Linked DNA regions of Drosophila melanogaster. The protein of the gene in region 2 interacts with the protein of the main gene of each other region in a pairwise test. Each region holds a gene or a part of one and is shown on either strand. Other genes may lie near its edges.

Region 1 (3,583 bases), on a different chromosome or scaffold from region 2:
GAAAATTAGTGGCTTTCGGCCGCATCAAATCGGTCAGCGGAGTGGCCTACTGCGCCGGCCGCTTGCCGGTAAATATTGCTATTGACATGCAACAGACGGCTCAACGCGAGATACATCGTTTGTGGCCGTCCCAGCAGTGCAGCATCGAGCCGATTAAGCATTCACGCCAGAAGGCATTCCACAACGGAGCCGGCATCCTGATGACTGTCAACACGACCTCCGACGTTGTCCTAGGTGCTTCTGCATTGGGCAAAAAGAGGATCGACGGACACGTTCTCGGCTCAGAGGCGTCGTGCCAACTGGGCGACTACATGCGCAAACAGGTCTGCGTTGATGATTACATGCAGGACCAGCTCATCATCTACATGGCCCTGGCCGTGGGCCGCTCAACGATGCGCACAGGCAAGCTGACCAATCACACGCGCACCGCCATCAATGTAGCCGAGCAAATGACAGGGGTCAAGTTCGATGTGGCGATGGAGCCCGGCGGCCAGATGCTAGTCAGCTGCAAGGGCTTGGGACATGTGAACAAGTTGATTTAACAATCGATAGATCTCTTTACTCTAAGGAAACCTTAAATTAATGTCTACATATATAGAGAATATACGTGTCCTAAAGGCGCCGGAAAATGGCCAGAAAATGATCGCCCTTGTTTCGAACCACCTTAGCGCCCTCCTCGCTGCTTTGGTACAGCTTCGGGGTGATGGGATCAGCATTCTGTGGGTTTAAACGTAATGATTAATGTGTGACTTGGCTGCGTGATCTCGGTTTTGAACTACGTACGGCCTCCTCTTCGGTAAGACGCTCGTACAGCGGATGCTCCTCCATATGTGTCACTATCCACTTGTGCAAGTCCTCAACGTCCGTCATGGTGTACAACAGACCCTGGGTAAGCAGACTAAGCAGTAAGCAGACCGCATTTCGAGTACTTTCAGGAAACTGTTGGACTTACCCCCTTCCTGAGGATATAGGCATATTCGGAGAGTAGAGCCTGGTTGATAATACGCCACTTGTGCTTGGCGCGCTTGAAATGTGGGTCCGGGTAGAGGAAGAACATCTTCTCCAGCTGGCCCTTTACGAAGTAGTTGGGCAGATACTTCATGGCGTTGGTGCGTAAGCAGGCAATGTTCTGGTATGCACCCGTATCCGCGCATCGTCGACGCAGTGCCGCAATCCGGTCCACCACGTAGTCCGACACCTTGACGCGGATTTCCATGCCGATGGACAGCTTCTCGGGGAACATCTCCCCCAGGGTGACGAGAAAGCCGCCATAGCCGCAGCCTATGTCCGCAAAACTTACCTGCTGGCCCTGCTGAATGCCTGGGTACATGGAGCGCCAGTCCACATCTTCCGGGCGAGCAGGACTATGTGAAGGAGCCTTTAGTGTGTGCAGTCCATTTCGTGGTCTACTCACTAGTCGAAGCTGTGGTCCGCAATGGGATTCGAGTGCGCACGCTGGCGGTAGTAGCGCTTTTGTGGCAACCCCGTCACCGCCGACGTGGGGTTTAGCACATCCGGCTCCTGGTTCTGGCCCTGATCCTGAGCCTGTCCACCGGTGGCCACCATTACTAGAAATTAGCAGAAGCGAGTGATATCAGGCACCGACGAGGAGAAGCAGCAGCACGTTGCGAACGCTTTTGAAAACTACATAAATATACTAAAATATACCGAGGCATACGTTCGCTTGCGTTGGGGGCATTCAAACGATATTTTCGTTTAAAATCAGAAAACTTTAAAAATACTTATATTTTGATAAGTAAATATTCATTTATTGGCTAAGAATTACACAATTAGAAAAAGTAATGTTTCGCAAAGCTAATCACATATAAAAACAATTTCCATCACTTGATTTCCAATTTTGTGAAAGGGTTATCATGATTTGTTGCAAAAAATTTAAATGATTAAAGTTTTATTACGAGGTAAACGAGGTATTTGGACCACTGTAATGCACCATTTTCGACGCAATAAAATGCAAAGTTTCCCTGGTTTCGACACCAGGGGATCAGAAATCATAGCAGGTGCCAGCTGGTTTCCGCAAGAACATGAAAATAACTGTTTTGTTTTCCAGTAATTTTTCGACCAATGGGAAATAGCTATGTGGAAGGCAACCGTAAATTAACTTTGAGAAAGCTACAGTAAAATGTGACAAAATCCATGAAACCAAATGGTCCTTGGTCACCTCCTGAAAATTATGTTCGACTAGTGTCTGAACCCAGAGAAAGTTGCTATTTTGTACTAAGTCTTGTTTCAGCCCGCGGACGAGATCTTTATTTTCTTGTATCGTTTTTGGTTTCCGACACCAGGCAAACAGAAATCATAGCAGTTGTCAGTTGGCAGCACAGATTAAAACCAAAACATCTGATATAATTCATGATGGCTGCTGTCTATGCATTTCCAGTCAATATTCGACCAATAGAAAATCAAGAGGGGAAGTTAACCGTTAATTTGCAACTAAGCACATACACACTAGAGCCAATCACGACAGGCCTGAAATAACTGTAAATTTCGTAGTACTTTGAGCTTGAGAAGTAATCAGCTGATCGATGCACGCCCTATTCTTTTTTCTGTTCGCCTAGTGTCGTAGATTCAAAGGTTACCCCAAAAAAGGTAAAATCAAATTTTTGCGCCATGGAGCAATCCAAAAATCCGCCAAACAAAAATACTAAACTTCGGCTAAGCGGCTATAATTTAGCCGATTGAGCAGCACTGCCACAGACCCAAACATTTCGCTCCCTTGTTCGTGTTATTGCAGCGCAATTAAATAAGATACGTTAGTTGTGGCCAGTGCTGCAACTTACCACCACCCGGATACACCATTCCCTAGCGCGATGTCACAGGTTTACTTGCTGCCGGTGCTCACGTTCCTGATATTCCAGGTCACCTTTCTTGGCACGTAAGTACGCAGGGGGTGCTTCCCCGATTACCGGGCTTTCTGACCCGACTGACGTCTCATTGGTCTCCAGGTACATCTTCGCCGTGCTGGAGGGGCATGTGGTGCCCACGGTTCCCTACATCAGCGATGCGGCCACCTACTCGCCGGAAAGCTGTGTGTTCGGGCAGCTTATCAACATAGGCAGCGTTCTGCGTGAGTTCCTCTCCCGGCATCCCGTCTCGTCTCCAGAGACGATGAGTCATCTGTTGATTAGACGCTCTTGCAGCGGTGTGATTATACTTTCTAAGTGTCTCATGCTTTGCAGTTGGAATTACCATCTACGTACGCTACCGTCAGGTGCTGCAGCTTTATGAACACCATCCGGATTTGGACGGGTCGGTGCTGCGCCAGAACCGACTAGCCTTGTGGTTCGGACTGGTGTCCTGCCTGGGCATTAGCTTCGTGGGCAACTTTCAGGAGACGAACGTGCGGATTGTCCACTTCATCGGAGCCTTCTGCTGCTTCGGCTGCGGCACCTTGTACTTTTGGATGCAGGCGCTCATCTCGTATCTGATCTTCCCCATGTCGGGTACCCGCATTAACGCTCACTTGCGGCTGGGCATGTCCGTTGTCTGCACGATCCTGTTCATCCTGCTGGCGGTCACCGGCGTGATGTCGCACATCCTCTTCAAAGGACAGAATCCTCGAAAG
Region 2 (3,755 bases):
CCGCCGACGAGTCTACCGTATCTTCAAGCAGTATTAGGACTTCTTGTCGCTTCGGCATACGATGCTACAGGTGATTCACACTAACCAACTCCCATATTACCAACTAAAAATATACCTTTTTCCAATGACAGGCGAAATCCAGCTCATCGTAGTGCAGAAGCTCATCCGGGGGATCAGGATTACCGGCGACCAAACTTTCCAGCGCCACCCCTCGGAACTCCAGCTTGTCCTTTCGGTAACGCATGCTATCGCCGTAACCCAGTTCACTTCCAGGATTACTCCCATCCTGCGGATTGTAAGTAGAAGGCTTGGCATACTTCGGCTTCAAATTGGCTAAAGCCCATTGTAGTCAATTCCGCGCAGAACATTCGAAATCGTCTGCGTCAACGGCGAGCCCAACGGCAGAACGACGATGACTCGGGGACGGATGAGGAGGATGAACCCTTTGGTGGCGACAATGACAGGGATGCGGACTACCGTCCAGGCGCAGACATAAACGAAGATGAGGATGATGAGCTGGAGTTTGATAGCCAACCAATAAGTGGGGATGACTATGATTAGACTATAAATTCAAATTCGCTGTTAACTTAGATGATACGTTCCATTTGCCGAATAATAGGCTTTATATATATATATTATATTCTGTTGATGAAAACTTATGTCTATGGAGTTCCATTAGTAGAAGCCCTCGTCAACTTCATCGGCTGGCTTTTGATCAAAAGTGGCGCCCCATTTTGCAGCCTCTCCGCCGCGAACTTTTACATTGTAGCAAACATTCTCGGCCTTAAGAACGCTCTGCTTCATGGTAGTGATCTTACGCCATAGTTCACGGGCTCTCTGACAGTTTAGACTGATGTAACTGAAAACAATAGGAAGTTAATTGAGTTTCTTAAGGGAGAACTAACCAACCCGCTGTAGAAATGCTGCAGGGCCTTGCAGGTGTCCAAACAGGTGTCTGTATCTCCACTGCCTAGCGAATTTATGCAGCGGCGCATCAGTTCACCAGTAAGATCCGAAAGTCCAAGTATATATTCCGTGGGGTCTACGAAAAACTGGAACTTCTTTGGGCTCTCAACCTGAGCTATAGCCTGAACATCTTCGCCTTCAGTTGGTTCTTCCTTTGGCTGGCTGCTCTCCTCGACGTACTGCATCACCGCCTGAATGGCCTGCCAATCTGAAACGCTCTTGGTTTCGTTCTCGCCCTCAGCATCCTCGTGGCACAGGTACTCCATGTAGGTGTAGGCCTCGATAAACTCCTGCAATCCTGGAGAGTAGGAGCTGCGGAACTGGTAGACATCCTGGTCGCGCAGTTCCAGGGCCACAGCCCTAAAGTTAACCGCGATCAGCTTGTTCAGTCGCTGACGTGCCTCCTCCAGGACCTTCTCCTTATTCTGCTTACGCGAGTCAATGGAGTGCAGCAGGAAGATGATACGCTTGGACTCGATGGTAATGTCACGGCTCAGCTTGACAATTCGCTCGTGGCGATCGTGTTTCATGATCAATTCATTAGAATAAATTCGAAATTGTTGGACAATGGGACTGTCTTCATCCAGCTGGGCAGCCGGTATTTGGCGCTTCCTGGGAGCAGTGTTCCTGTGACCAGCACCTCCGTTTTTCGGCATTATTGATATCTTACGCGATTCTATTTGAACGGCTTAAATATGTTTTTTTTTTTGTTTTTATTTTTTTAGATTTTCAATCGCGTCGGCAAAAAATTTATTGTAAACAAATGTCCGATAATTGAGGTATTAACCATATCGATAGTTGCCGACAAATATCGCCACCTGATATCGGTGCTAAGACCCGAGAAACTTTCGTGGCAAGAATTTGTTAAAAATATACAAATAATTAAATTCCAGCCCTAAGGCAATGCATGATCCGGTCAAAAAGTCGGCTCACTTGACCGCTGGCTCCACCAGCACAGCGGAGAAGCTGTGCTTCGACAAGAATGAGTTTATGAAGGTCAGTAATCCATGTCAGATATGTGTTCCCTTGCTAAAATTACTTCGAACAGGCAAACTTCTCGGTGGATGAGTTTCTGCACAAGAACCGCAATGCGCCCAGTCTGGAGCAGCTACGCGACAACCTGGGCCTTTACCTCAAAGGTCTGCGGGCGGCCATGATAGATTTGATCAACGAGGATTACGCAGACTTCGTAAACTTGAGCGCAAACCTGGTGGGACTGGACCAGAATATAAAGACCATTCAACAGCCATTGGAGCAATTCCGCAGCGACATCGAGAGCATTCACGGCTTGATAGATGAGAACGTGACCGAGCTGCGGGCCCAGTTGGAGGAAAAGCGTCAGCTTCGCGAGTTCAAACGCGGTCTGCAGAGCCTCAAGAAAGTGTATGAGACCATTAACAAGCTTCAGGATCTAATCGACCGAAAGCTCAGCGGGGAACAACCAATTAAGGCCGTTGACCTGGAGCGCGCTGCTCTGGACCTGATTCAATTGAAGTTCCATGAGAAACACTGTTTCAAGCACTTAAGTCCCGACCATCAAGGGAAGATCCAACAGCTAGAAGAGCAATTGCATCAGCATCTGCGACGCTTCTTCAATGACGCCCTTAGCCAGGCACGCAACTCGGCACCGGAATCCTTAGAGCGCTGCTTGCGGATCTACATAACTCTAAATGCCTGTGATCAGGCAGAGTGCGCCTTCCGCGAGGATGTGGTGGCACCGTATATGACGGGCGTCATTGGCGAACAACAGTTGCAAAACTCGCCGCAGGGATTAGCTGGCATCTACAGCAAGATCCTCAACTTTATATCGCTGCATATGACCGATTTGCTGCGCCTTACGCTTTACTCTGATAAGTTTCCGGGCTTTAACTTCGTGGTTAATAGTTACTGGTCTGATGTGGAGACGCGTCTCGAACTGCACATGAATTCCATATTTGCGCCTGGCAATTCGGAGGTGTTCTATGTAAAATACAAGTGCACTCGCGATTTCCTGGGCAAAATAGAGGAGCTATTGACCTGCTCCGGAGAGCAGGCCGTAACGTTCTATCGCCAGCACAAGCAAACAAAAAGTTTTGAGGCTCGCTGGAATCTTCCGGTTTACTTCCAAATATGCTTTCAAGTATGTAAATAAGTTTATATAGTAGAATTTTCGATTAATGTGAAATGCTTCTAGGAAATTGCTGGTAAATTTGAAGCCCAGTTGGAGCCGGTGCTCCAGGAGGATAGTTTAAAAGATAATCTCACCGATAGTGACTACAAAATATCCGCATTTAATGCCGCGAAGGAGGCTATGACACGGTGCTGGGCCGAGGGAGTTTACCTACCCGAAGTATTTCCGAAATTTTACAAACTTAATGTGCAGGTGGTACTGCGTCTTTCGCGCTGGATCACGGATGCAATTACTCAATCGAAAGGCAGCAACTTTTCTAAGCCCTACACTCGAAACCAGTTGCTTATTGCCCTCCATGCTGACATTCGCAAACTTGACGCGCATCTGCCAGAGCTTCAGCAATTGATTATTAAATCAGTGCCCGTTGAACAGTGTACGAAGATCTTTAGCGACGTTTTGGCCAAATCGATGTCCTGCCTAGCCGACACGCTAGGTGCGCATTTGACCAACATACAAAAGACCTTAGTGGAGTTGCTGATCGGAGAATGCGAGACGGAAAATGTGCGACAGGTAAACGACTTGCCGCGGCTGTATCGCAAGACGAATCGAGAGGTTCCCACACGATGTTCGAGCTATGTGGAGCAAATGCTGCGACCGCTGAAGGCATTTGCCCAGCAGA

Evidence for each region. The genes of interacting proteins can lie anywhere in the genome.
Region 1: the proteins of Trax (region 2) and CG4045 interact in a two-hybrid assay, tested with the Drosophila melanogaster proteins (one large-scale study listed by BioGRID).

The regions. Positions count from the first base shown.
Region 1 is NC_004354.4:2,074,255-2,077,837, forward strand, and holds CG4045 (uncharacterized protein), read right to left. Parts: upstream 1,647-3,583; 5' UTR 1,567-1,646; coding exon 1,415-1,566; intron 1,365-1,414; coding exon 953-1,364; intron 886-952; coding exon 784-885; intron 718-783; coding exon 613-717; 3' UTR 543-612; downstream 1-542. Other genes in the region: Rtca (RNA 3'-terminal phosphate cyclase), read left to right, coding at 1-542; CG4025 (uncharacterized protein), read left to right, coding at 2,829-2,893, 2,964-3,085, 3,198-3,583.
Region 2 is NT_033777.3:15,359,692-15,363,446, reverse strand, and holds Trax (translin associated factor X), read right to left. Parts: upstream 1,756-3,755; 5' UTR 1,623-1,755; coding exon 910-1,622; intron 860-909; coding exon 676-859; 3' UTR 597-675; downstream 1-596. Other genes in the region: CG6171 (uncharacterized protein), read left to right, coding at 1-70, 132-295, 350-561; Cog2 (component of oligomeric golgi complex 2), read left to right, coding at 1,870-1,962, 2,015-3,085, 3,140-3,755.